Diceros bicornis minor: one gene and its partners. The protein of the gene in region 1 interacts with the protein of each later gene in a biochemical or structural test. Links are inferred from orthologs where the notes say so. Each region holds a gene or a part of one and is shown on either strand. Other genes may lie near its edges.

Region 1 (9,687 bases):
CTGTTTTTAATTAAATGTAATATTAGTTCATCCACTGTTTAAAAAAGGTGGGGGAGGGGAGCTAATACATTGTAGACAATTGTAACTCAGTTTGATGAAAAGTATTAGGCTTATCATTTTGATTAGCAGCACTCATTAAATATGTTTTCTACCTGTATTTCAGGAAACTAAAGCAAGTAAGGATGTTATTCTGCTTTACTGGAGGCAATTCCACATCCTGCTAGGTTTGGTTTATATATGTGCCTGGCTTCCTAAAATAGACATAAACAGCCTTATTTAGATCTATGCCATTTATTTCCACAGAGAAGGAACCTCAGAACTTTTTAACTATAACAGATTATCTAATCTTTTTATACTTTTGTTGTTATGAAGAAAGAAAAATACATGATACTGGGGGCAAAAGGAAGACTGAGCTTAATTACAAAGATTTAAAGCAGAAAAATTCACATGGTGGCTTTTTAGAAAAAGAACACTTTCTTCCTTTCATTTCAAAGCAAACCATTTACCTACCAAGAAGCATAAATACTATGTATTTACCTACCAAGAAGCATAAATACTATGTTCCTCCTTTTTTTAAATTTTTAAAAAAGTTATATCCTTCTTTATTCAAAGAACCTGGAGTCTTAGATTTTTGTAATCTGAAAGTCTTTCTAACATATCTGTCCAATCCAAACAGTTGACTACTATTCAAAATCACTACAGGAACTAAACAGCTATAAGGATTCATAAACAGGTTTCACAAATGAAAACTCCGTAATGAAATGATACTTTTGACAGAATGTTAATGAAATACAATCAATTTTTCTAAATCCTTTTGGAGGAAAAGAATTTTAAGTGATGTAACAAAGATGAACAAAGTTATATTATTCATTCACCATGTTAAATGATCCAGTGTACATTACTTGAGAGCAGAGATTTACAATGCATAATCAACACACTGAGTGATGTGTCAGTAAAAATGATTAAATATGCCAAGGTCTTAATTATAACACCACTTTATATTTGTACAGAACATTCCAGTTTGCAAAGCACTTACATCCATAAACTCACTTGATTCTATATGTCCTTCAATTTAAGTACAATAGATATAAGAGGTGAGTCCATCTGGATAAGAGAAGCTATGTACTGAAATGGTTAAGAGCATGGAATCTGGAGACAACTGTCTGGTTTGGGATCCTAGCACTGCCGCTTACTAGATATGTGATTCTGAGCACATTACTCAACATCTCTGTGCCTCAGTTTCATCATCTGTAAAATGGGGATAATAATCATTTCTATCTCTTGGGTCCACTAAGGATTAAATCAATTAACATACGTCAAGCACTTAGAACAGTGCCTAGCAGAGAGTAACCATTATATATTGTACACGCTGGTTGTACATATCAGCAGCATCATCGTATGGACAGGGAAACAAGCTGGTAAGTCACAGAGCCAAGAATAGAAACCGGATCTTCTCCCAGTTGATGCTCCATCCACAGAGAGCTGGGTTGTTTTTAAGTATCCCAAGGTTTTTCTAGACTGACATAAACAGTTTAATTGTACAAATCAAAAAATCCAGCAGCTCAAAACATTTAAAAAGTTATATTTTAATCTATGTTTATATATACATTTTAAGTTAAATTATTTAAAAAAATATATTCCGTTTTGTGGACAGAGCTGTACACTAAGGAATACTTATCTGTGTTGCTATATTTGCAAAACACAACTCTTCTGTTTCACTTTTCAAAAGATAGACCAAAAAGGCAACAAGCCTATCATATCACATCATGTTAGTATGACCATTACTTCAATTTATCAAATAAAAAAATCTAGAAGGAAATATACTAAGATGATGATAATACTGTATTAGGATTTTCTTTTTTTCCCTTCTGATTTTCAAAACATTCAGTATTGTGATAAAACATTCATAATTTTAAAACTGATTTCCCAAACAGGTTTATCGAGGACCAAAAATAGTATTGATAGAAAAAACACTCAGAAATTAATTCTAGCAGATAATAAATGCCTAGGTAAAAAACTGCCCTCTTTTTTCAGACGTGTTTTAGGTATATTTCCTCAGACTTTGTTCAAACTTTTTACCTTTCTTTAGTGATTTAGCTAACTGTGATAACATCTTCCACTGTATCTAAAAATAGGGCATGGGTGTGTAAATTTATGAGCTGAAATGCAAAACTGGCACTGGATGTCTAAATTAGAGTATTAAATCATTTAACATACTCTAGTATAAAAATATATTTTAAGCGTTGATATCCACATACTTTGTATACACATTATACATAATTTTAACTCAATCATCTTTAATCTTTTCATATGAAGTGAAGAAATGTGAAGTCATGAACTTTTTTTAACATTCTCAACTATGCCAAATCATTTCTTAAGAGATTAACTTGGACAAAGCATTCCTCCACTCCAGGCCTCAGATTCCTTCTTTGAATAATAAGGAGAGTAAACTAGAACATCAGTGGTCTCAACTTTCTTTCCACTTCAGCCCATCTGAGAGATCCAACATCTCTCCCTTTACAGCTATGGGGACAGTTTGAAAATGTCCCACAGGGGATTCTGATACACTACCCTGCCCCTGCCCTCTACTCCACTACTGCAGAGTTCTTTGAGGTGCCACACAGCTCTAAAGTCTGGCACTTTAGGTACAGGAAAATCACAACCCAATGACCTGGAAGGTATCTGACAGTGTTAACACACTTAAAAAGGCAGGCCAAAAGTTAATATGCATTTTCTTTTGTTAGAACATGCAAGCCTCAAATAAGAATTTGTATACTGATGATATCAAAGAGGGCTTTGAAACTATTCATATGGCAAACAGCACACCTCACCTGGAACTGGATTCTAATCAAGGAGGTGGGTAAAGGAGGAGGAAAAGTGGGGAATCAAACAAAATAATACCCTCTTTAAAGTTTGAGGGAATGGTTTGAACATGTGATTAATGGAAAGAAGATTTCTGCAATTTTTCTGATAACAGAAAAGACAAAGACTGACACACAGAGACATTATGTTATGTGATCCCCAGTTTCTTCTCACAAGTATCAATTTGTTACAGGTCTGACATCGATTCTATGTAAATGATTTTTTTTATCAGACAACTCTGTTATAAATTAATAATAACTAATAGCTACTAAAAATATGGTTTAAGCATGCCATATTATGAATATAAATATAAATATAAATATAAGCCAAATACATTGACTCAGCATGGTGATTGACAATTGCTCAGTATGGTATATACAAATAGTGTCCATTTTCTTTGAATGTCTACTTACTGTGGACAAAGTCTACACTATTTAAAAGTTATTTTATGGGCAAAGTCTTGTGAAAAATTGTCACAACTGGAAAGAAAGAAATGGAATTTTAAAACTTCCTTGGAAAATCTGTGTTGTTTAATTCAAGTGTGAGCCAGTATTACATCATCATTAATAAGTATACAAGGCACGGCAAAGATGCTGACTAGGGCTTCAAAACTAGGATTACCTATATGAAAAAAATGTGTCGCACTATTTTCAAATCAGAAAACACCTTAATCATAAATGCTGATTATTAGCTATATGTGTTATAGTGAGTGGACCCTTAACTGGCAAAAAAGAAAAAAATTAACAGTGATCCACAGATTTAGTATTGGAACCAAAAAAACCAAAAAAGAAAGAAACAAACTGGCTGGGTCTGAAAGCTGCTGTCCTCTGTACCAGAAGATGCCACCAGTGGTGACTGAGAATACAATGTACACATCTCTATAACTGCTCTATTGATTCATGCCTGAAAATGTTGATAAAAATTTGCGGTAGGCATAGATTTCTTCTGAAATCATTTGCCAAAACATGCTGTCCGTTGCTGGCATAACTTTCTGAACACATTCCCCATTTAAAAAACAAATTCTCAATGTTCTCCACATAAACTAAAACTGTAGAACCTAAAACTTGTGTCAGTGAACAGACCAATAACCCCAACAAGAAATAAAAGTGAACAGAACGAAAATGCCCCAAACCCAATTTTGTAAGATGTTCACATTTGAAACAGTAGCAATAAATACTATGCAAGAGAAGACAACTCCTTACACGTACTTGGGATGGACAAATATTTGTTGAATGAATACGGTATACATTTCTTCCTCATTCTATACCCATGTGTTAAAGCATCAAACAATTTAATTCGTGGCAGTTTCTGTTGTGTCTCGAACTTCACATATAAGTTTATTATGAGGGGAAAAAAACCTGTTTGGCTTGACTCACCATGAATCACAGCCAGGAGGTCATCTTGTTGTGTATCAGCAACTATGTTTTCACTACAGCTATGTGACCTGAAGTGGCAGCAGCAGAGGCACCAAAATAGAAGGGGCAGGAGGCTTCTCGGCCCCAAATGAGCTTTTCCAGCCCATTCGGGCATCTGAGCAAGAGCAAACCGCAGAGGAGAGAAAGAACAAACCCAACAGCTCCGAGGAGAAAGGCTGCAGGCCCACTACACCTTCCTTGCCCTCCCCGGGAGCCCGGAGAAGCAAGAACATAAAAGAAGATGGGCTTAAGAAACACAGAAGAGAAATCACAGCATGACGGGGGCCAAAACTAGCCCGGTGTAGGGCAAAATCCAGCCGTGACCGTGAAGCACAGATTTCGGGAAGCTCTGGAGACGGAGGAGGATCTCCACCCGATGGCTTCGGGCGCGAGCGCGCAGCGGGCCCCCTGCCTCCCAGCACCTCCAGCCACCGGGGACCTGCCCCCGCTCCCGCCTCACCTGTCCGGCGCCCGCTGGCCCGGCCGGTGTCTCCCGCGCCCGGTCCCCGCCCCGGCCCACCCTCCCATCCCATGTCCTCCTGGCGCGTCTCTCGGGACCTCCGCCTGGGTCAGCGTGGGCAGGGGGCCGAAGCCCGCTCCGCCGCCCCGGGCCTGGCCCCGGCACTCACTTTCTGAATCCGCTTCAGCGCCATGGGTCAGGGAGGGCGGCAGGGACACCGGCCGGCGGGGGCGGCTGCGGGGCTCGGGGGCGTGCGGTCGTCGCGGGCTCGGCTCGCTGGCGGCTCGGCTGGCTCAGCCCGGTGGGTCCCCGGCTCGCCGTCCGCAGGCTCGCTCCGGGCGCCGGTGCCTGTTCCGTGTGCGCCCGAGCGCGAGTGTGCGCGACTGTGCGGGCGGGGACGCCGGCGAGACTCTTTTGTTTCCGCTTTTGCTTCTGGGAAGGAGCCTGCGCCCTCCCCGCCCCGCCCCGCCGGGCACACTGGGAAGTGTAGTTCCAGCCCTCTCCTCGGCCGCCGCCGGCGGGTTCCTGGCTGCTGACCTCCACCCCGCAGCCTGGGCTTGGAGCTGCCGGGGTCTTGAGCTGGCCTCCGCAATTTGATTTTTAATGAAGTTACTGAACTGGCGTTCCCAGTCTGTAAAATGGGGATAACAAATTAGCTCGTGAAGCACTTAGGAATTTCTAGTATGTGCTACAGCTGCTCTTGTTATTTTTACCCTTACAGATTTCACTCTTCTCAAACAGACGAATTGGCTCAATTTCTCACACATGCACAGACTCAGACCAATTATGACTCCTTACTTACCTCCCTACTTCCTATTTCAAAAGGCGTCTCCTCTATCCAGCGCTAATCCCGCATGTCTGCTCCTCCTTCCAACTCCGACTTCTGAGCTTCACCCTCACTATTGGCTCCCTCCCTTCCGCTGACAGTACCTGCTCGATTTAGTCTATCCACAACCCCCATTCCCTCAATTCTCATGAACTGTGTGCTCATTAAAACTTGGCTTCTGCTTTCAGCACAAGCAGAATCGGTTTTCGCCAAGGTCGAGCTTGAGCTTCTGATTACGGAATCCGATTCACTCCTTATCCCCGTGATGTTTTTGACCCATTTGATTACTGGCCACCCTTTTGCCTTTCAAAACGCTCACTGCCTCTGGCTTCCATAGCGCCATGGTAGTTGGGTCTTCTCTGACTTACCCTTTTCTGTCCCTAGCTCCTGAAGAGTTGGAGTGCTCCGGAAGTCCAAGCCTTGATCTCTCACCATGAATATCTTCCTAGACGACAGACTTCGTGCCCTCCCGGAGCCTGGGAGGCCGCCCAGCGTGGCTGGAGGAGCGTGGGCTTTGTAGACTGACCACTCTCCGGAGGTGGAATCCCAGCCTCACTTACACCCACCGTGTGACCGTGGTAAGCCACTTAAACTCTCTAAGCCTCCGGTGCCTTACCTGTCCATAGAGATAATAATCTCTAGATGTATTATTGTAAGAATTAACTGGTATTAATATATATAATGTGCCAAACACAGTATCAAATATGTTGAAAGTGCTCTATAAAAATTATTCCCTTATTTGTTTTTATCTATATGATGATGACTTTAAAAATCTCTCTTTCCAGCCCAAACTTTCACCCCAGTTTTAGCCTCATATTTCCAAAAGCCTGCTAGACATGTCCACCTTCCTTCCCCATGGCCAGGAATGAGAGTCTGTTACTATAATGTGAAGGTGAAGGAAAGCTTTCCAAGAAGCCCACAACCATAGCTACCATAGCATTCTCAAGGCTTACAAAGAGCAAGGGACAAAAATTTACTCATATAACTTAAAAGAAAATGTCCAGGGGAATAGTGAAAGAATAATAGAAATAATTAATGGGATCTGAAACTTAATTTGGAAGCCTCCCCACCCCTCTCCCCCTGAAAAACCTAAGACAGGCCTGGAGCCCGGCTACGCTCTCCCTTTCCTTTTCCCGAGGTCTCGCCTCTCTCCGCACATTGGCCCACCCTCCTCTTTCCAGCTCCCCTTTAGCTTCTCTTATCCATGGCCTGAGCTCACACTGCCCTTGCCCTACTTTTTGACACTCTTGCGGCAACTGTTCCTGCTGCTGGAAGGCCTAGCCTTTTGGCACTTCCTATTTCATCTCCCTAAAAGGAAGAATGTCATTGATGCAACTCATCTTTTTACTCCAGGCTATAAATTCAGCTAGTAAACAAAGTATGGATTGACTACCCTTGGGTTAGGTGGCCACCCCATGGTCCAATCAGCTGTGGGAAGTTTGAAGGACTTTTGGGCAAAGAGGCTTCTGAAACAGACCAGCAAGGTGGTAGCATGCTGCAGAGAGGTGTATTTGGGCTAGCTTGATGCACCATTTTTGGGCTCCAGAAAGTGGAACCCTACTCCCACATCACTCTTCCTTTTTATAGGGCAAGCAAGAGAGTGTCCTTGTAAGTAGGGGAGAAACAGTCTAGGCTCGGGCACCAGCTGCTTTGCGGAGTCGCATTCCCAAGCTGATAGCATTATTCCCCCCCGCCCAAAGCCCCAGTAGATAGTTGTATGTCCTAGTTGCACAGCCTTCTGGTTGCTGTATGTGGGACGCGGCCTCAGCATGGCCGGAGTAGTGGTGTGTCGGTGCGCGCCTGGGATCCCAACCCAGGCCGCCAGCAGCGGAGCGCGCACGCTTAACCGCTAAGCCATGGGGCTGGCCCCCAAGCTGATAGCATTTGGATATCATGTTGGAAGCGAGGCCATGTTCAGCTGCTGCCACTATGGGGAAGCAGTAGTTGCAGGTAGCTCATTTCCAGGAAGCCCGGAAAAAATCTCCAGGGTCATTCAGGACTGATTATCACTCGATAGATAACAAAAATACACACTTAAGCAGAGGCTATGATCAAGACAATTTCATTCAAAAAGCATTGAGAGCCCAGGACACTGGCATCAATTTCTCCCTATTCCAGGATATCCTATATACTACTAAAAGACACACTAATCAATCACTCCAATGCTTAAAAATCTCTATGGGTTTATGTCCTGGAAGCCCAATGCCTCAGCTTACTGCAAAACACTCATCACAATTTGTCCCTAAAATCCTCCTTTCCATCTTTAGCTCACATACTATAAAGACACTAGCTCATATGCCTTTGCACAATGCATTCTCTCCACATAGAATGGCCTCCCACCATTCACCTGATAAACTCCTATGCATCCCTCAAGACCTAACTCAAATGATACACGATTTATGAGATCCTCCTCTACCTATTCACTGAGGTGGATTTATAATATTTATATTATTCTTTTAATTCCAGAAGCAAGATGTTCATACTTTAGGGATATCACTTATCTTATTCATGACTGGTTATCTCATTAGAACATGAATTCTAAGAACATATGGAAAATGTCTTTTTTTTTTTTAGTGAGTTAAAATTTACATACAGTGAGATGCACACATCCAGGTGTACAATTCAATGAGTTTTAACAAATGAATATACCTGTGTAACAACACCACAATTAAGATATAGAACACTGGGCCGGCCCCATGGCTTAGCGGTTAAGTGCGCGCGCTCTGCTACTGGCAGCTGGGTTGGATCCCAGGCGCGCACCGATGCACCGCTTCTCTGGCCATGCTGAGGCCGCATCCCACATACAGCAAATAGAAGGATGTGCAACTATGACATACAACTATCTACTGGGGCTTTGGGGGGGAAAAAAAAAGGAGGAGGATTGGCAATAGATGTTAGCTCAGAGCCGGTCTTCCTCAGCAAATAGAGGAGGATTAGCATGGATGTTAGCTCAGGGCTGATCTTCCTCACAAAAGAAAAGATATAGAACACTTCTATCAACGCAGAAAATTCTCTTCCAGTCACTCTCTACCCGAATAGGGAACCACTTTTCTGATTTCCATCGCCATAGATTAGTTTTGTCTGTTGTTGGATGTCATGTAAATAGAAAAATAAAATACATACTTTTTTGTGTTTGACCTTTTTAGCTTGATGTAATGTTTTTGAGATTCTTCCATTTTTTTATGTGTCATTAGTTCATTCTTTTAAATTACTGAGTAGTATTCCATGGTATGAATATACTATAATTTTTTTTCTCCTTTCTCAGGTTGGTGAACATTTGGGTTGTTTCCAGTTTAGGTTTATTATAAATAAAGCTGCTATGAATAGTCTTGTACATCTCTTTTTGTAGACATATGTTGACATTTCTCTAGGATAAAACCTTGGAAATGGAATTACTGGGTCATAGGATACTGTATGTGTAATAGCATAAGAAACCACCAAAGAGTTTTCCAAAGTGGTTATATAATTTTAAAGTCCCAACAGCACTGTATGACTGTTATTTGTTCTGCCTTCTTGTCAACATTTGATGTCCATCATTTAATTTTAGCCATTCTCTTGGGTTTTAAGTAATCTCATTGTGGTTTTAATTTGCATTTCTCTAATGACTGATGTTGGAACCTTTTCATCTGCCTATAGGCCATTCCTATACTTGCTTTTTCCTCTAATAACTCTATGAAATGGGTATAAATTTCACTCTTACAGATAATGAAAATGAGATACATAGAAGTTAAGAGATTTGCCCAAGGCCTAATGGCTCATAAATGGCAGCGCTGATATTGGAATCCGGGCAGACTATCTAGGCTATGGAGTTTTCTATAACTTTTCTATACCTCTTCCCTATACCTTTTAAGTGGGACGTAATTTACTCTTCTTTTTCTGACTTCTTAAGGTACAATGTTACAATGGTTGTAAATCTTTCTTCCTTTCTACTTGAAAACTTCAAAGCTATTAATTTTTCTCTGTGTACTGCATTTCACAAATTTTTTTTTTGAGGAAGATGAGCCCTGAGCTAACATCTATTGCCAATCTTCCTTCTTTTTTCCTTTTTTCTTCCCAAAGCCCCAGTAGATAGTTGTATGTCATAGCCGTACATCCTTCTAGTTGCTCTAATGTGGGATGCCACC
Region 2 (9,687 bases), on another chromosome or scaffold:
CCCCCTCCTGCCCCCACAACTCTCCAGATCTGGGGTGGTATTATCAATCCAATTTATTGATTATGTCCTCAGTGAGGTGGAGGAAGGGCCACGTCCACCCACTGCAGACCCTCTGACCATCTTGACAGCTTCTGCTCTCTCCTGTCCCCTCAGCTCTGCCTCAGTTTCCCCACTGAGAAGGGGGGATCTTCTGCTGTCCTATGTGTCCTCAAACTAAAACCCAAGAGGAGGCCAGAAATCCTCAGGGAGTTTCCCAACTCCCCCCAAGGCACCGGCAGAGACAGAGAGGTCATGAGGATCAGGACAAGCTGGAGCAGGGGTAGGACAGACCAAAGTCCTCTACCGCAGAGGAGAGAACCACACTGTGGAGGGAAAATAAATAGAGGGGCCCAGGGCAGCAGAGTCCAGGCCCCCCGGGGGTGCACTGACTGTAGGAGCAGCGAGCGAGGGGGAGCCCCGGCACACTGGCTCCAGGCCCCTCGCCCGCCTCAGCCACTGAGGAAGAGACGCTTGTAAGCTTTGTTCATCTGCTCCAAGAAGATGAAGGTGAGGACGGTGTGGGGGCCCAGGCGGGCATAGTATGGTGTAAAGCCCTTCCACAGGCTGAAGAAGCCCTCGTAGCGGACGACCTTCACCAGCACATCCTAGACAGGCAAGCAGAGCGCAGAGGCTAGGACCTGGCCTCTGGGGCCCTGTCCCTCTTACCCAGCCACTCTCACTGCCCTCCCAGGGCATCCAATCCTCCAGCCCAAGCCCCCAGCCCTGCCTCCTCACCAGTCCGTTCTTGTATTCTGGCTTCCCATCAATCATTCGCATGTTCTGGATCCTGAAGGAGAGGAGGTAGGGGCATGAGAGACACAAAGGGGGCCCTCCTATCCCTCTCCAGGCCCAGGCCTGCATACTCACCGGGTCTTGGCAATGTCCACGGGCATGGAGGCGGCAGTAGTGACCAGGCCGCTGATCATGCTGGCACAGAAGTGGCACAGGATGTTGTCAGAGAAGTAGCCTGGGGGAGGTGGAGCAGGGGTGGCAGTCAGCTCGGAGCTGGCCCAGGCCAGGCGGGGAGCTGGGGGCCCAGCTCTGGATCTCACCTGAGTCCAGTAAGAACTGTTTGGATTGGGAGTAGGAGGCGAGCTGAGCAGCATTGACAACGACAGCCCGAGCCATGGTAGGGATACAGCCCTGGGGTGGGAGAGTGGGAGAAAAGTCAGAAATGCCCGAGACCTGACTCCATGTCCCCCAAGTCTCCAGCCCCTTCACTCACCCTCCATAGTGTGAGAACCCCCTCCTCCCGGACAATTCGAACCAGGGCATTAAACACGTTTTTGTAGCCACGGCGCTGGTCGGGTGGAAGCCTGGTGAGAAGGCAGGGAGAGGCCAAGCTCAGGATTGACCACCCTGCCCCACAGGAACAAAGAAAGGGAGGCCAGAACAAGTGAATGCTCTGCTCTAGATCTAGGATACGACATCAGTTCTTTCATTCTAGATTCCAGGGACCTGGTCTGAGGGCTGGCTCAGACCTGGAACTCACCGGCCATCGGCAGTCATGCGGATAAGAGCCACCTCAGCTGGTGTTCCTACAAAGGCACCAGTTGCACCTGCAGTCATACCAATCACGGCCTTCAGCAGAAACCCCGGGGGTGTACCATCAGCCCCAGTCAGGCGCTCAAATAGCACGGTATAGATGCCAAGGCGAGTAGTGGTGTAGGTGGCCTGGCGCAGCAGGCCAGCTGACAGCCTGGGGAGTGAAGGGGTCAGTGCATCAGGCCAAGGTCTGGAGCTGCCAACCACACCCTACCCTTCATCCTGTGATAATGGCCCCAATACCCAGTGTAAATGCCCCTCAGCCCTTCTGCCTTCAGGATGCTGGTGAGGGCATGGATGCTGGTTTTATACTCTCGTGTCTTGGCTCCTTCCCCACTCAGCTGCATCCGGTTCTTCACCAGGTCCAGGGGCTGCACAAAAACTGTAGCTCCCATCCTGGAGGAAGACAGGGGTGGAGTCAACGGCCAGGTGTCCCTGATCTACCAATGCCCAACGGAGCCTGGCAACTAGGGGTCACAAAGGGCAGGGCCTGCCATGCGACTGACTAAGTATTCAGGAGGCTGGTGGGCATGTGTATAACTCTCTGCATGTACCAGGAGCAATGGGTCTGAAAAATCCAGGGATCCAGTAGAGGCCATGCAATGAAAGCGCTCCATGCAGCTCCAAGGAGGTCAAGCAGTGACCTGGGACTGCATGCAGTCTGACCCAGGAAGGAGAGGTGGGCACTCATGACCTGAGACTCCACGTCGTCCGGCAGGAGCCCCACGCAATGACCTGGAACTCCACAGAGCCCGGCAGAGCCAAGCAATGGTTTGGGAAATTCAGGTGGCCCGACAGGGACTATGCAATGACCCTGCATGCAGCCCAGTAGGGGCCCTGCAATGGGTGAAAAGATCCTGGCAGCCCATCAAGGACCTTGCAATACCCTGGGGACCGCGCTGACCCCATGCCGGCTCGGTTCACTGCAACAGACCCAAAGATGAACTGGGCCCGGTTCCTTGCACCCGTCCCTTCATCCTCCTTTCCCATCCCTGGGGCCTGAGCTTACCCGGCCAGACCCCCAAACAGGAACTTGACGGACTTAGGCGAGGTACGGGCCTTCGCGTCCATCCCGCCAGCAGCGGGACTCGCCGTCGCCGCCATCGCCACTCAATGGCCCCCGGCGCCGAGTCCCGTGCGCGCGCGGCCACGCTCGCGCCCAAGGTGACACCGCGCGCGCAACAGGAGGGAGGGCGCGCGCGCGCACGCCCCTCAAGCTCTCAGGACCAGCACAAACTGGAAGCTGGCGCAGGCGCGCAGCGCAAAGGCGGCCGGGAGTAAGGCGGAGCTGAAGGAGGAGCTTCAAGGACGGGTGCGGGAAGGGGTGTGGCTGATTTAGAAAGCCAGAGTATAGACGCAGTTTCTACCGAATTGGAATCGCGGGAAAACAGAGAGGAGGTTATTTGAAGATCTCGCGAGAACTGTGAGCTACGCTAGCCAGAGTTAGGAGGTCTCTCGCGATAGATACAGCAAGATTTCAGCTGGTGGGAGGGAAGTGTGGTGAGGACTCTCGCGAGATCTGAAGGTACCGCAGCGGCGGCGCCGGGCAGAAGAAGAGGTTTGTAAACTGGGCAGCTGCAGGATCCCGAGCACTAAGGAGGAGAGGACTAGGTCGTCTTCAGGGGCTTCAGTGCTCCTTCCATCTTCACAGGCGCTCCCTCCACCTCTAACCTTTCTTTTAACCGGCCTCTTAGGACCGGAAGTCCTTCTTCGTGAGCGTCCAATGCTGGAAGTGGCCGGACTTTCTTTACCGGAAACCTTTTTCGGGGGATAGGAAGACGGCCCACCTGGCCGGAAGTCCCACCTCCTGGAGCTCCCCCACCCTTCCAGAAGTTTTTCTGTCACCTGTGTTTGCCTCCGTCCCTTTTCCGTTTTATCCCTGTTCCAGAAAAGGGTACATTTAATGTCTCCTTCCCAGCTCCACTAAACGGGTTGGACATCTCACTCCCCGAGTCGGGGTTTCTTCCCCGCTCCCCCATGTAGCTGGGAAGTGGGACCTGGGGGTGGTTGGACCCCTGGGCTCCTGAAGGGGGCGGAGAGGGCGCAGAACTCGCTTCTGCTACTGCTACCAGGACGCGGCCTCCTCAGCTTCTCCCCTGCGGCTGCCATGCACCCTGCGGCCTTCCAGCTTCCTGTGGTTGTGGCCACTGTGCTGTGGGGAGCGGCCCCTATCCGGGGGCTCATTCGAGCGGTGAGTCTGAGCGGCAGATCCGGGAAGGGCGCTGAAGACAGAGGTTGCAGGCTGAAGGGGGACATGGACTCTCTTGTCCGCAGACCTCGGACCACAATGCCAGCATGGACTTTGCAGACCTTCCAGCTCTTTTTGGGGCTGCCTTGAGCCAGGAGGGACTTCAGGTGATTTTCTTCCCATTTTTCTTGTTTCCCCTAAATCCTCCATCCTTCGTAGGGGTTGAGGAGCCTTGCCCTTGGGTGAAGTTGGAAGTAGGAAAAGAGTCCACTTAGCAACTAGGTGCATAAGCACATCCAGTGTGGAATCTAGAGGGAGAAGACCAAGTCTGCCCCTAGAACTCTGAGCCTTATAGGGAGACTGGAAGTGCACTAAGATAAAAGGCAGGGCAAAGTGGTGCTTATCAGTAGAGTCTTTTGAAGCCAGTTATTGGTTTTATAACCTTTGACAAGTTAATTATTTCTCTGAGCCTTGGATGGGTTTCCTGTAAAATGGGATGATAATAGAAATTATCTCAGCGTTGTTATGAAGATTAAATTAGATAAACAATTTTGTAGTACTTGATCACAAAGACTGCCACATAGCAAGAACTCAGTTGGGTCATAGCTGTCAGTATAGTTGTTTGTAAGAGGGGTAATTGGAAAATTAAAGGGAGGTGTTAACAAAATCAAACAGAATAAATTTTAAAGATCTTATTGGCTTTATTCAACGATTCATAAATCGGGCAGCATCTCTTCTGGTAAATAGGAAGGAGCTCCCAAGAACTGTACAAAATGAAAGACTTTGATAGGCAGAAGAGCACCCGAGGGAGTGTAGAGGGAGTTATACTAGCAGAAAGCTGATTGTGGCAGGATCACTTTTCTTTAGGAAAGGGCAGGGGTCTGTCAGGCAGATGACCTCACTAAGGCTGACCAGGTAATTCCAGATTGACTGGTTTAAGATTCTATTTCTGGGGGAGGCTGAAACCGTAATTAAGTTAGGTGTTAAGTCTCTGTTCAGTAACCTGGGGGCTCAGCACAAGTGACTCCATTTTGGGCCTGTTGTCTCTTTTTTAACAGAGGGGAGTATGTTTTGTATGAGTATGTACTGAAGAAGGGAATGTGAAACAGAACTTGAGAGAAAGTGACATGAATGAGTGGAGAATTGAATTACATTCAGTGGGAAACTGGAAGGCAGAAGAATTTGAATTAGCTCTGAGTATGGGGTATAGATTAGCTCATCTGGGACAGGGAGAGGGATATTGGGAAGGTCCGGTAAAGGGAGGGTTTGATGTAATTGTATCTTCACGAGGCTAAGAGAAGAGGTAGACTTCTGACTCAGGTGGGATGCTGAGGCCCCAGGAATGAGAAGGAAGTGAGGAATAGAGGACATGCAGCTGGTGGGAGCCAGTGTGCTTGGTGGGGCCCTGTGGGGAGCAGAACCTAGGGAGGTGAAATCCGACTGTTGTTTGCTTCTCTTCCCTAGGGCTTCCTTGTGGAGGCTCATCCAGCCAATGCCTGCAGCCCCATTTCCCCACCACCCCCAGCCCCGGTCAACGGGTCAGTCTTTATTGCACTGCTTCGAAGATTCGACTGCAACTTTGACCTCAAGGTTGCTGAATGTGGAGCGGGAGCTGGGAAGCTGAGGGTAAAAAAAGCACCAGGAATGGAAGTAAGGCCCATGATGGCTCCTAACCTCCTGCCTTGTCTCCCTAGGTCCTAAATGCTCAGAAGGCTGGGTATGGTGCAGCTGTGGTACACAATGTGAATTCCAATGAACTTCTGAACATGGTGTGGAATAGTGGTAAGGTTGGGGGATCTGGACAGCTGGGTTTTCAGTAGCGCTCAGACTGAGAGATGGTGGGAGGACTGAAAGTGTAGGGAAGAGAAGTCGATCCTTTGGGTGGGATGGGGCAAAAGAGCCAAATGCTAGAGTTACTAAAGGATTGGAGTGGAGGGTTGGGTCCCCATTGTAATGCCCTGATCCTTGCAGAGGAAATCCAGCAGCAGATCTGGATCCCATCTGTGTTTATTGGGGAGAGGAGCTCCGAGTACCTGCGTGCCCTCTTTGTCTACGAGAAGGGGTAGGACATGTCCCTCCTTCTTGCTCTTTCTTCAGCACTTCCATGCTAACCTGGAGCCCAAACCTCAGTGCCCCAACCATTCAGCCTGTGGCCCTTCATACTCTGCCTCTTGACTGTCTTCCCACCTCCTTCCCCACCCATGGGCCTTGTCCAGAGCCAGTTACTTTGTTCCTCTGCCTTTCCTGTCCCTCTGATACTCATCTTCCTTTTCCCAGGGCTCGGGTGCTTCTGGTCCCAGACAATAGCTTCCCCTTGGGCTATTACCTCATCCCTTTCACAGGGATTGTGGGACTGCTGGTTTTGGCCATGGGAGCAGTGATGGTGAGTAGCTCAGGGAGTATGATGGGAAGAGCTGAGGCCTTTAAAGCCACGCTGGATCTGGAGTTGGGAGGTGGGGATGGTTTGTACTGGATTATCCAGTTTTGTTCCCTAAGCCTGATCCATCCACTCCCCCTTCCCCAGATAGTTCGTTGTATCCAGCACCGGAAACGGCTCCAGCGGAATCGACTGACCAAAGAGCAACTGAAACAAATTCCTACACATGACTATCAGAAGGGTGAGGGGGATAGGGGAGAGGAGAGCCTTTCCCACAGCGTACCTGGTTCTAAAGTAGTTTGAGCCAAGGAGATAAGGGGCAAAGAAAGATGATAGGAAGATGCCACCTTTCCTCCTCTTTCTCCCCATACATACAGTGAGGACAGATAGGAATAGAGCAGGAGATGGAAGGCAAAAATGATTAAATGGAATAGTTCGGGGAAGAGATGGAGGCCCAACCTTGTTTATAAAGGGGAAAGTGGAGAGAACAGAAAAATGAAAGGAGTAGGGAGGATTGAGTGTGAGAAAGAAGAAACAGGTAAGGAGGGGCTGGGTCTTCAGGCCCTGGAGCCTCCAGTGCCCAAATAAGGCTATAACAGAAGCCCTGCCCCCCCATTTCCGCTCCTCCCATTCCCTCTCTCTCCGCCCTTACACCTCCCCCCAAAAAAACCACTTCCCTTCTTACCTCTGTTTCTCTTTGCTTGTCCATTCTAACTCCAAATTCCTCATGTTCTACCCTGGCCTTACTCTGCCCCAGGCTTAGCTCTTCCACTGGTTCTGTAGAACCAGGGAAGATAACTTGCAGGGTTTAGCTCTACCACAGGCCTCCTGGAGTGAGTTTTTGTGGGCTCTAGTCCAGGATGGCTCAGTAAAAGGATTCCTTTCATCCTCCCTCAGGAGACCAGTATGATGTCTGTGCCATCTGCCTGGATGAATATGAGGATGGGGACAAGCTGAGGGTGCTCCCCTGTGCTCATGGTGAGGCCCTCCCTTCCTGTGCCCATGCCCCCACTCCACCAGCAGGTACCAGGTGCTTCACCTCATTCTTCTCTGCAGCCTATCACAGCCGCTGTGTGGACCCCTGGCTCACTCAGACCCGGAAGACCTGCCCCATCTGCAAGCAGCCCGTTCATCGGGGTCCTGGGGATGAGGAGGAGGAGGAAGAAACTCAGGAGCAAGAGGGTGATGAGGCAGAGGAGCCAAGGGACCACCCTGCCTCAGAACGGACCCCACTTCTGGGCTCCAGCCCCACACTTCCCACCTCCTTTGGTTCCCTAGCCGCAGCCCCCCTTGTTTTTCCCGGGCCTTCAACAGATCTCCCCTCGCCTTCCTCCTCTTCCTCTTCAGTTGCCATCCTGGTCTAATGCTCCCCTTACCCCTCCACCTCTGCTGACCTGTTTGCACAGCCTCTCCTCTTTCCAGTCTTCTATGCTGAGAGAGGGGACATTTCCGCCCCAGGTTTCTCCCTTACCCAACCCCGTCCTTTTGAGGGGGTTGAGGGTGCAGAGGGACTGGGTCTTCACTTACTGAGTTAATAAAATTGTTTTCGTGGACTAAGGAAGGGTAAGATCCTTCTCAAACAGGTGAATTGCCCTTTTTTGCCATAAAGGGGCAGGGGAGTGCTGGGAGATTAACCTATAGTCATGGGGACAGCCCCAGCAGGCATTTTTTGTGACTCAGAGAGGGGGAGCCCCACCCACACATGAGGATGACTCAACTGGCCCTGCCTTTCCCACAGGCCTGGACCCATTCTCTGGTCTGGATGGTTCTATTCCATTATCCACCAATTCATCTAGCACACTGAGGACCTAGGACTGGAAATGCCACCGTGGAAGGGCTGGGCCACCTGGCCAGGTGGGCCTGAAGCAGGTGGCTCAGACCTGGACATGGAGGCAAGAAGCTCAAATTTCTAGTAGTGCCTCAACCCTCCTGCTGCTAACACCAAGCCAGGATAAAGGAGGCATGTCCCAGTGAGTGTCCTCCATCCTGACGCCCAGGCTAAAACCACACAGCACCTTGTTAGTAGAATCTTTTTTATTCAGAAAAAAAACCCAAAAAACAAAAGTTTTCCAACCACACACAGGAGGGGTATGGGTAGGGGGAGGTGTCTGTCCATCCAGCCCCAGCCCCCAGCCCATGTGGTTTTGGCAGCAATAAGGGGTGTGGGGTAATGGCCCCCAAAATAAAAATGGTGTATGTGTGTATATGGGAAGGGAAGGAAAGGGGTGCAAAAGCAGTGGGGAGTGGTGGGGGGAAGGGACAGACGAGGTCAGTACTGGGAACGCCGCAGGTGGGAGGCCATTTCATAACATTTCTTGTTGATCATACCACCGTGGACACCTTCTTTGCCCATCAGCAGGACTAGCGCTGGAGGAAAGAGAAAGAAGGCTAGGACCCAGGTGTCACAATTCCACCCCCTGCCAGCTGTTCAGCAGCTGTCCAGCCCTGGGGGCTGTAACCCAACCTCGTCTCTCCCAACCCCCCCCCCCACACACACAGGCAGGCTGTCAGTCACTCTGAAACAATAGGGCTTTTCAAAAGGGGAAAATCAAGCTTAAAGGCTGGAAAGGAACACACTAAAATTTAGGAGTCAAAGGCTTGTAGACTGTTGACTCCTGTTCAGCCTATAAATGGCTGTGAATGAGCCTGCCACCTCCAAGCTTTAACAAAAGGGCTCAAAAGACGTGAGCTAAGTGCTGACTTATGACCAACAGTCTACCTCCTCCAAGAAAACAGGGAGTTTCTCGTTTGAAAAGGTTCAAGCCAGGAAGGAACTTAAGAGATAATACAGTTCAACTTCTTTATATTACAAGATGAGGAACTGAAAGAGAACTGGAGGGACTATCCAATGTCCCAGCATCCAGCAGGCTGGGAGAGAAAGCTGGTTTGGTTCCTTGATATTGAGGAGGAACCACACAGAAAAAGAAGCCAAAAAATTAACAGAAGGAGGTATATTAGGGATCTTGGAGCTAGGAAAAGGGTAAGACTCAGAAACTCACTCTTGGCAGTCATGGTGACAGTGATGTTGAAGGTGGGGGCTCCGCCGGTGCTCTTGGTACGAAGATCCATGGTAAATTCCCCATCCTGCAGCAGTGAGTCCCGGATCACAGAACATTTCTGGCCCCCAAGTGTCAGCCCATTCACGAAAAAACTTGACCGGTCTTTGCCAACCAGGACACCAACCTCAGCTGGCTGGAAGGGGAACCAAGCACCCATCAAGTTAGTTAGTATACCAAGATTCCCACATTCGCCAAGGACCCACCTGCCTTCCACTTCTCAGAGCTAGAATCGCCCCCCCCACGGAGGGAAGGTGGAGGAAAGGCGTAGGTTATGTGCTTTGTACACATCCATGAAACCTGAGAAACTCTTAGGACTGTTGCAAGTTAGTGCACAAAAAGATCATGATCCTCAAACCTAGAGAATGGGAAGGGACGACATATTTCCTCTGGAGACTTAGATCTGGTTTAATAGGGAAAGCAAACCCAGGAAATAAATAGGGCCAAAAGCCAGTGAGGACAGTGGAGTGGAATGGAGTGGG
Region 3 (9,687 bases), on another chromosome or scaffold:
GGCCTCATTCATGCGAGTCTCAAAAAAGCGCTGCAGACCGATGATGGACTGCACGTCTGCCTTGTCCTGGGCAAGCAGATTGCAGTAGGTGGGTCCTAGCTCTCCTACCCTCCATCTCCCTTCCCCCTGCCCACAGGCCCATTCTCCACAGGCTCACCTCTGTCAGCTTGTTGAACTGCTTGAACATGCGGCCCACATCCTGGGCAAACTCCTGGGGGGAGCTGTAGGGCGGTGACAACTTCTCCTGGAGGCGGGCGCGGATCAGGGTCAGATCCAGGGTGCCACCGGGCTGATCCTGTAGGCAGAGACCACATAGGCTGAAGTTGAGACCAGGCAGCCCCTGCCCCTCCTCTCCTCCCAAGTCCCAGGACTCACCAGGGAGAAGGTGGAGTCAGTAGCCAGCTGGTGCAGGGGCCGGCAGGGCTCATGGCAGAACAGGGCCAGCAGGACACGCTCACATTTCTATGAACATTACGGGAGACATGAGAACCATGGAGGCAAGGAGAGTAAAACTACTGGGCAACCCCCAAGGGAGTGAGCCCCTGCCCTCACCTGCTGGTTGGCTGGCGAGAGCTTAGCCACCACACCGGCGCTGTCACCACCATCCAGGCTCAGGTTGCCATCCTCCTCCTTCAGGTCGGGTAGTACATGGCAAAGTGAGCAGCTCCACTCCTCCCTGGAAGCAATAGAGAATGAGGGGGCTGCACAGGACATGGTCCTGCCCTCCAGCCCCCAGAGACCCCACACAGCCTCCCACCCTGGCACATCCTGCAGGGCAGGCAGGTGGCAATCCAGGTGGAAGCAGAACTCGCATTGGTTGCACATAACCAGGTCGCCTGGCTTCTGGCAGACACGGCAGATAGTGGCACTGTCATCCAGGGCACCTGGGCCACCAGCTGGGGCTGAGGTGCCCTCTGGAGCCACCACCTCCAGGCCTGAGCTCGTACTGCCACTGGGTGAGGCCAGGCGAGGGCCTTCAGCACCAGGACCCTCTGCCAAGGGCATCAGCACAGGCTTGGTCTCTGGGCCCTCAGTGGCAGCAGGCGGGGCTCCAATAGCAGCCTCTGTCTCTTCCTCCTGCAAGGCGGTGAGGGACGTTCAACAGAGTGAAGGCCTGGACGGCAAATGTCATCCATCTCCCAGCCAAGATCACTTGGGGCAAGCTCACCTTGACAATGGCCATGCCAGGCAGGGGTGGGGCTCCAGGGGCCCCAGGGGGCGCAGTCCCAGGCTGTCCAGCAGCAGCAGCTGCAGCACCGCGCTCAATAACAATGAGGTTGTAATCCTCAGTGGTGCTGCCTGGGAACACCTTGAATACTGGTGGTTGGCTGTCAGCCGTGAGGTCCAGGTCCAGGCGCTCGAGGCTCACCCGTGGTACCTTGCGCATGAGGCCGCTCACCTCACCCTCCCCAGAGCGGGACCTGTTGGTGCGCCTTGGCATGAGCACCCATACCTATGCCTACCCTGCTCCACCCAAGGATAGCCACACTCACCGCTTCACACCTGACACATGTGGCTCTGCACTCGAATAAGGGTCATCTGCTCAAGACAGAAAAAGAGACAGCAGGTTAAGGTAGACCTAGGGCACTGGAACTCTCCCACCTACCAAGCAGACCCACTCACCTGACCCAAAGCCATAGCCTTCCTGCACCTCCATGGGCTGCGGGCAAAACAGTTGAACCTCAGTAGGCAAGCATCCCATGGGACCCCACACCCCTCTCCTCCCCAGAGTCCCCCTCCCCTGCTCACTTGGCTGCTGCCAGATCCCTGCTTGCTCAAGGGCCCTGGAGGCCGCGGAGGGGCCATGGGCGCAGGGCCTGTCGAGTTGGTGCCAGGACGCTCTGCCACGATCTTGCCTATAGGAAGAAAATAAAGTTAGCATAATAAGCACAGTGCCTGGGATGGTGACAAGGTACAGCACGGGGAAAGATAAAGACTCACCAAAGGCCTCCGCACTTTTGGTCCAGGCGTTGAGGTCCCACTGGAACTTCATCTCGCCATGTGGCTCCACAGGGTCCACGATCATCTTGAGGGCCCGGTGCAGCTGAAAGTAGATCTGGGGATGGGGCAGTGCTTGAGTATAAATGCAGCGAACAGGGATCCAGGGTGCTGGGAGGCACCTCCCTGAAACCCACCACCTGGGTGCCCACCAGCACAGCACACACCAGCTTCTTGGAGAGCAACAGGGCTGTGTTGTTGTCACTCTCCAGGGCCCAAGAGGCAAAACGCAAGATGTGTTCCTGGTGCTTCTGGATCTTGGTCATGGTCCAGTGCTGTCGCTCCAGGCGCTCCTGCTGCCCTTCAGTTACCTTCTGTGGATGAAAGGGCAACGAGGTTGACCAGAGAAGAGGGCACTAGAACGCCTCCCCACCCAAGGATGACATCAGCAGCCAGCAGAGAGCCCAGGAACCCTCCCTCGCACATGGGGAGTACCTGGGCATCGTTGACCAGCACACGACCCCGCTTGTTCAGTTCCTTCATGATCTGCAGAATGGCCATCTTAACATCCACCTGCACACGCTTCTGTACGTCAGATACTTGGCGAATCCTGGAGGCAGGGTTGGTCAAGTCAGGTCTAGTCAGGCAGGTGCTCACCCAGGGAACCCCATGACCCTGGCATCTCCACTTACGAGCTGCGAACCTCCTTGGTGTTCTTCTGCAATGTCGCATGCTTGTCTCCCAGGCGCTTCACCAGCGAGGCCAGGAGCTTACGCTGGTTCCTCACTGCGTCCTCCAGAAACTGGTATCTGAGAGCAGACAGAAGTAGTCCTGCACACTGTGCATAGGAACAGACAGCATCCACCCACTGACCCACCCTACCTCAGGACTCACTGGTGGTCCTTGTGGGCATTGAGCTGGCAGTCCCGGCAGGTGAGGGTGTCGCAGCTCTCGCAGAACAGCACGAGGGGCTCATGCTTGTGCACATTGCAGTACACCGTGCGCTCACCATCCCTTGACTTGGCAGGCCCTGGGGAACAGGAACCATGAGGCTGGAGCTTACCCTCAGCCACTCAAGGAGCAGACAGGGCTTGGGGCCTCACTTCCTGCCTGTCCTGGGCTGTCTGTTGGGAAAACCCAGAGGGCCCTGAAGCAGTGGCCAGAGAAACACAGGCCTGAGAACCCAGATCCTTGCTCTCAAAACCCTCTGTCCCAGCCTGCCCCTCCTTCCAGCTTCTGGCAGTAACAACACAAAATGTAAAGATGATGATCTCTGGCAGGAGAAACCTCCCCTCTACTGTTCCCTCTACTAGAATCTTCTCCAGGTGGACACTCAGGAGAGACCCTCCTCCAAACCCCCCAGTGGGCTCCCTTTCTCCTCCACTCACAGCAGGTTCTGTCCAGAAGAGAAGGGGATTCTGACTACTGTGGCAACCCAGCATGCAGAATATTCACTTTCTGGCACAGACAGAGAGCAAATCAGGGCCTAGAGACAGGCAATTTCCTTAAGAGCAATGCTTGGTGACCTCCCCTCTCCTCTGCTAAGAGAAGAGTGTTGACTTCTTACAACCCACAGGCCCACAGGAGGCCTTGCAAAGCCTTCTCAGGCTGGGAGAGATAAGACATCAGACCAGGACACTCAGAAAGGTATCAGGCACCCTCTCCACAGGGAGGGTCCTGGTGCTCAGAGTAATACCACCAAGAAGCCAATATACTATGCTGACCCCCCACACACACACAGAGCCTGTCACCATCAGAAGGCTGTTTGGGAACATCTGCTCTTCTTTCCTCCCCAATCCCAATTATGTGCCGGGTACACCAACTCGGCTTGAGACATAACATTGAAACATAGACCAGCCAGGCCTTGGCTCCTCCAATATTGCACCCCCTGCACCCTGAACTTTGTCTGGAACCCAGGACACGCTGCAGACCCCTGCCCTTCCCTCGTGGCTCCTCATGCCCCAAAGCCACCATCTCCACCCTCATCTTCCTACCTCTGAACTGAACAGACCACAGTGTAACTACCAAAATGCCACTCACAAGGAGTTCTGGACTAAAAACCAGGCTAGACTCAGAAGACTCCCAAGCCCCTTAATGTACCACTGCCAACATATTCACAAAAAAATCTAAAAATACTTGCCTGATCTTTGAATAAGACACCTACAATACAAAGCGAAAATACTTCTAAGACTCACTGTCAATGATGGTCTAAGGGCCCTCACAGCTTGTCAACATACTGTAGCCCAGAAGCCTCACTTTCCCCTACAGAGCCTTAAACCAAATGCCAGAGAACCCCAGATCCAGGAGGCCCCTCACAACCTTCCCCAAATGCCTTGTTTCCCTGACTGCACATGCCTGTCCCTACACCACTGGAGCCTATCCCAATGAGCTTCCTCAAACTCTCGTACATTCCCCTGAGGGTGTGTACTGAGGTCCCTTGTGCGCTCCCCAGCCCTGTCTGTGGCCTTTCCCCGCCCACCTAGACCTGCAGAAACTGCATACCAGAGCCCCAACCTCCCCATTTCTGAGTTCTGCCCTCAGGCCCTTCAGCTGGTACCCCCTAAAGCACTTCCCTGGGACCCATTCGCCACTTGCAACCTGCATCATAAGCAACTAAGGGCATATGTAGGAAGACAGTCTGGGCCACCCCCTCAGCCTTACATACCAGTGGAGCGCACGGTGTGGTCCTTGGTGTACTTCACCCGCTGGTGTGCCTCCACACACGTCTCGCACAATGGCTCAGAGCACTCCACACAGTAGCTGGTGGCAGGAGCATTATCCTCACAGCTAGTGCAGCACTGCTAGGCAAAGGCAGAATCAGAGAAGACAGAACCACCAGACAGATACTCATTTACATCCCAGGAACTACGACCTGAAGCAAGGTGTTGCCTTTACCTAGCCTAGGCAGCCTACCCAGACCGCTGTAGTGTCGGGAGAATAAAATCTCCCGTTGGTACCGTGCTCCTGGGCTGGTGCCCCCCTCCCCATGGCCTGAGGCTTCCTGGAAGTTGATGGAGAAAGAGATACCTGATTCGCATCCTGGGAGTCGGAAGCAGCCTTGCTGCCACTGTCGCGCATAAAGTAATTCTCCACAATGTCTTTGGAGAAGCATTGCTGCTTACACACAGGACAGTCCACCACTGCGAAAAACAGGAAGGAATAAGACCACTGCACGTTCACATTCAGGCTGTAACACCATCCCCGCACAGGGCCCCAATCTCCATTCCATTCCAGGCCAGACCCTCCCCTCCCGGGGCAGGAGCCAAACCCTTCCTTCACCAAACTTGAACCAGACCCTTCACCAAACTTGAACCAGACGCTCCATCTCAGCGCCCGATCCAGCCAAGCACTGTACAGGTCCCTATCGTCCCGCCCGGGCGATCCCCCGCCATCACCACGCAGGTAAGGCCCCCAATCCCTGCGCCAAGTTGGGATAAAACGCTGCGTGGTCGGGAGAGGGGCCAGCCCGTACTCACCGGCGCCATCGCCCGCTGCACCCCCGTCCCCCGAGCTGTTGGCGGCGGCGGGCGCCGCGGGCCCGAGGCAGGCGCTGCAGGCCGAGTGCAAGCAGGGCAGCAGGCGCGGCTCCCTCTCGGGCCGCAGGCGCTCCCGGCACACGCCGCAGTGCTCCAGTAATTCCAGGGCCTCGCCGCCGCCCCCCGCGGGTGACGACGCTGAGGCCGAAACCGAGGCCGAGGCCGAGGCCGAGGAGGCTGCGGCGCGCTTTTCGCCGCCCGCCGAGCCCTCGCCCGGGCCCGGGCTGCCCGAGGCGGCCGCCGCCGCCGCCGAGGCCGCCGCCGCCGAGGCCGCCATTCACACGCCGCCGGGGGCGCCCAGGGAGGAGGAGGGGCGCGGGTCCCGCCGCGCAGGCGCAGACGCGCTCGCCGCCAACGGCTGGGCCTCAGCCGCCGCGAGGCCGAGCGCCGCCACGCGCCGCCTGGGCCGCCGCCCGCTGCGCGCGGGGCGCTGCCGAGTACTGGCCGCCCACTGCCTGCTCGCCTCCCGCAGCCGACGCCCGCGCTTCCTCCTCAGCGGCCGCCAAGACCAGCGCCACGCACCACTCGCACAACTGCTCACCCTCGCGCCCGCTCGCAGAAAGAGCCGCTGTTGGGGGGCGGGACAGAAATAACTGGCGCCGACGCCGCCGCGCAGGCGCGCTAGGCGCCTTGCGCCCGGGGGCGGGGCTCAGGTCGGCAGCCGCTGGCGAAGCCGCGAGTACGCATGCGCCTGAGCCGGGTCCTCCTACCTCCGCCTACACCACCACCGCGCCGCTCAAGCGGCAGAGGCAGGGCATCTGTGACGTCACTGCCGCAACCTAGTCCGCGGGCGGGGCGCGCGCATAGTTACTAGGGTGTGCTCCCGAGCCAGCCCCTTCTCCAGGCCGCTATAGTGCGCATGCGTATTAGCAGTCTGGGCCTCCACCTCAATCCCGGCCCCTTTGGCCGGCCCAGAGAAGTCTCTGGTTGCTGCGTCAACAAGCGTTCGGGAGAGGGGGCGGGACACAGGAAGATGGGCGGAGGGTCCCCGTCGGAGGAGGAAGTGCTCTTCTGAGCCGGGAGGCTGACTTTTAACGTTTTTATTGTTTAACACGAGAAACACTGAAACTTGCCTAAATCAAACAGATCCCAAGAGACTACAGAGCAGCGAGTCACCTGGCCCCCCAAGCGCTCCCTTCCCATCTTTCAGCCAGCCGCTGCGCTGACTGATGCTTTTCCAGGTGGGCAAACTGAACCTAACAGTGGGGGAATTCTAAGGAGGAAAGCAGGGTCTGGGGGAGTGAATCCTGTCGGAGGAAGCAGGATCTGTAGAGAGGGGAATCCTCCCTCAGTGGGGAGTAGGATGGGGGCAGGTGAGTCTTGTCTGAGGGAGGAAGCAGAGTGCGGAGAATTCTGTCAGATGGGGAAGAGCAGGCCTGTGGGGGTGGGAGACATCCTATTTGAAAGAAACATGGCGTTTTTGTGGGAATCCTGTCTGAGGGGAAGCAGAGTCTGTGTGGGGAGAATACTGTCTGAGGTGGGAGCAGAGTTGGTGGGAGCAGGGTCCGTGGGAGGGGATCCTGTCTGAGGTGAAGCAGAGTCTGTGTGGAGAGAATCCTGTCTGAGGTAGGAGCAGTCTGTGTGAGGAGAATCCTATCTAAGGTGGGAGCAGAGTCTTTGTGCGGAGAATCCTGTCTGAGGTGGCAGCAGAGTCTGTGGGAGGTGATCCTGTCTGAGGGGAAGCAGAGTCTGTGTGGGGAGAATCCTGTCTGAGGTGGGAGCAGAGTTGGTGGGAGCAGGGTCTGTGGGAGGGGATCCTATCTGAGGGGAAGCAGAGTCTGTGGGAGGGGATCCTGTCTGAGGGGAAGCAGAGTCTCTGTGGGGAGAATCCTGTCTGAGGTAGGAGCAGTCTGTGTGAGGAGAATCCTATCTAAGGTGGGAGCAGAGTCTGTGGGAGGGGATCCTGTCTGAGGTGGGAGGAGAGTCTGTGGGAGGGGATCCTCTCTGAGGTGGGAGCAGAGTCTGTGGGAGGGGATCCTCTCTGAGGTGGGAGCAGAGTTGGTGGGAGCAGGGTCTGTGGGAGGGGATCTTGTCTGAGGTGGGAGCAGAGTTGGTGGGAGCAGGGTCTGTGGGAGGGGATCCTGTCTGAGGTGGGAGCAGAGTCTGTGGGAGGGGATCCTGTCCGAGAGGAAGCAGAGTCTGTGTACGGAGAATCCTCTCTGAGGTGGGAGCAGAGTCTGTGGGAGGGGATCTTGTCTGAGGGGAAGCCGAGTCTATGTGGGGGGAATCCTGTCTGAGGTAGGAGCAGTCTGTGAGGAGAATCCTATTTAAGGTGGGAGCAGAGTCGGTGGGAGCAGGGTCTCTGGGAGGGGATCCTGTCTGGGGTCACTAGGCACGGAGAAAACTCGAGGGATCGGTGCCTCGGAGCTGGTCCCTGGGCTGGGCCTTGGCCCCCTGTGCAGGGCTCCTCGGTCCTGAGGTCTCCAGGCCAGGATGAGGCTGGAGGGCACAGGTCTGAGAGGATGCAGAGAGCCTGGAGGGCCGGCGGGTCCAGCCCCGGGACTCGACTCTACTTTTCCAGACCTCGCACACGCCCAGGCTGCGGGGAGAGCGGGGCGCAGCCTCCCCCAACCCAGCTCCCCAGGAGCCCACACGTGGCGGCGGCGGAGACGCGTCCGGCCCTACTGGGCTGGGTGTGGCCTTTGTTGCCGCCGGGGGTCCGCAGGGCTTTGTCTCCGCGCCCGCCTTTGTTCCAGCCCTGGCGCGGCCCCCAAATCCGGGCGCCGCTCCGCCCCCTCAGCTGCATAGTCCCGGCCTCCGCGGCCACCGGAGCAGGTCCGCCGGGCCACGCCCCCTCACTGACTGGCCCGCTGCCTCTTAATCGTTCCCGAAGACCCTGTCCACGGACCGTTGCTTACTTCCTCTGATAATTGGGAAGGAAATTGGTGGCTGGCAGTGCACAGCGTGAGGTGTGGCGTCCGTTAGTAATATTTGCTGAGCACTTTCCACGACCCCACCCTGCACGGGGCCGCAAAATCTCTGAGGAGGTGTGGGGAGGACTGACCCATATTTACTCTGGCTCCTGAGGCAGACGCAGGGTTGTCAGGGACCAGACAGTCAAAATAACTAAGTGGTGGTAAAGAGTGTGGGAGAGGACTCCCCTTGGGGCTACTCCCAAACACCTGCAGGAAGGACAGTTCAAGCAGAAACAATAAGTACAAAGGCCCTGAGGCAGACCAGGCACAAAGGGAGCAGTGAAGTGAGGAGTAGTGGGAGGTGCCTAGAAGTTGCCAGACAGCTATCTGGGGATAGGTTTGGTCCTCTGGTTGCCCCTGGTTACAGGCCCTTCACTAGACTCTGGCAACTGGCCCTGTGGTTTCAATGGTCCACCAAGGCCCATGCTCTTCTCTCTAAACAGTCCCCCCTTTCTCCTTCTGGGCCCAGGACATTCCTTCCTAGTCCTTGGCAGCCACACAAGCAGGATGTCACCAGGTGCCAGCAGCAGGCCTTGGAGAGTCCCCTTACCACCAGGTGCTTGGCCACTGCCAGCCCCATTGTCCAAATGGGGAAACCAAGGCTTCTGGAAGTGCCAGGACAGCAATGGGGGAGGAGAATCAACTGGAAACCAGGCTCAGGCAGACTCAGGGAAGCACAAGGGGCATCCTAGGACTGGCTGAACCAGAGTGGGCATACAGGAGGGCAAGGCCAGGGCAGAACCCTTGCTCAGAGGTCCTCTCTTAGGAGCCAGCCTATTCAGAGGTCCAGAGGTGTATGGCAGGACACAGGTACATCTTGGCTCTGTCCCCCAGCTAGACCCGACTGAGTGTAGTCAGTGTCAGTGTCACCTTATACTCTCATCCTCTGTGCTCCTTGCCCACCCTTTACAGCATCTTACCCTTCCCAGTCCTGGACCACTGGAAACTGTCTCTATTCTGGCTTTGCAGACAGGGCTCCAGGGGTGAAACAATGCATAGGAGTCACTCAGACTGCACCCAGGCCAGCCAAGGCCTGCCTACTGCCCCTTTGGGGCACCTGCCTGCAAACAGGCACCCTCACTCTCTTCCTTCCCCAAACTCCACACCTGCACCTGGCTCTCCATCCAGCTTCAGGTGTCACCCCCAGAGCCACTTCCTGGGGAGGTCTTGTGGCTACATCACTCCAATCTCTTGCTCTGTGTTCACAGATTTCATTCAGGAGCTAGACAGTGGTGATGGTTGCACAACACATGAATGTACTTAATGTCACTGAATTGTGTACTTTAAAATAGTTAAGG

The links.
Region 2: the proteins of UBE2D1 (region 1) and RNF167 form a complex in vitro, tested with the Homo sapiens proteins (3 studies listed by BioGRID). The link is inferred for Diceros bicornis minor from reciprocal best matches to the Homo sapiens genes UBE2D1 and RNF167.
Region 3: the proteins of UBE2D1 (region 1) and TRIM28 form a complex in vitro, tested with the Homo sapiens proteins (2 studies listed by BioGRID). The link is inferred for Diceros bicornis minor from reciprocal best matches to the Homo sapiens genes UBE2D1 and TRIM28.

Annotation. Positions count from the first base shown.
Region 1 is NC_080745.1:46,258,723-46,268,409, forward strand, and holds the start of UBE2D1 (ubiquitin-conjugating enzyme E2 D1), read right to left. Parts: upstream 5,103-9,687; 5' UTR 4,931-5,102; coding exon 4,907-4,930; intron 1-4,906.
Region 2 is NC_080757.1:11,693,905-11,703,591, forward strand, and holds RNF167 (E3 ubiquitin-protein ligase RNF167), read left to right. Parts: upstream 1-3,069; 5' UTR 3,070-3,142; intron 3,143-3,278; 5' UTR 3,279-3,691; coding exon 3,692-3,775; intron 3,776-3,858; coding exon 3,859-3,939; intron 3,940-5,236; coding exon 5,237-5,362; intron 5,363-5,466; coding exon 5,467-5,554; intron 5,555-5,743; coding exon 5,744-5,834; intron 5,835-6,049; coding exon 6,050-6,155; intron 6,156-6,296; coding exon 6,297-6,390; intron 6,391-7,046; coding exon 7,047-7,127; intron 7,128-7,205; coding exon 7,206-7,513; 3' UTR 7,514-7,729; downstream 7,730-9,687. Other genes in the region: SLC25A11 (mitochondrial 2-oxoglutarate/malate carrier protein), read right to left, coding at 489-644, 775-826, 907-1,006, 1,092-1,182, 1,265-1,355, 1,532-1,738, 1,828-1,980, 2,594-2,688; PFN1 (profilin-1), read right to left, coding at 8,991-9,341.
Region 3 is NC_080773.1:38,312,843-38,322,529, reverse strand, and holds the start of TRIM28 (transcription intermediary factor 1-beta), read right to left. Parts: upstream 6,032-9,687; 5' UTR 5,752-6,031; coding exon 5,415-5,751; intron 5,079-5,414; coding exon 4,966-5,078; intron 4,737-4,965; coding exon 4,604-4,736; intron 2,969-4,603; coding exon 2,833-2,968; intron 2,748-2,832; coding exon 2,631-2,747; intron 2,549-2,630; coding exon 2,434-2,548; intron 2,313-2,433; coding exon 2,166-2,312; intron 2,057-2,165; coding exon 1,942-2,056; intron 1,857-1,941; coding exon 1,750-1,856; intron 1,661-1,749; coding exon 1,624-1,660; intron 1,540-1,623; coding exon 1,494-1,539; intron 1,422-1,493; coding exon 1,169-1,421; intron 1,078-1,168; coding exon 758-1,077; intron 677-757; coding exon 553-676; intron 463-552; coding exon 376-462; intron 296-375; coding exon 158-295; intron 67-157; coding exon 1-66. Other genes in the region: ZBTB45 (zinc finger and BTB domain-containing protein 45), read left to right, coding at 6,644-6,655. UniProt on the Homo sapiens protein: Nuclear corepressor for KRAB domain-containing zinc finger proteins (KRAB-ZFPs).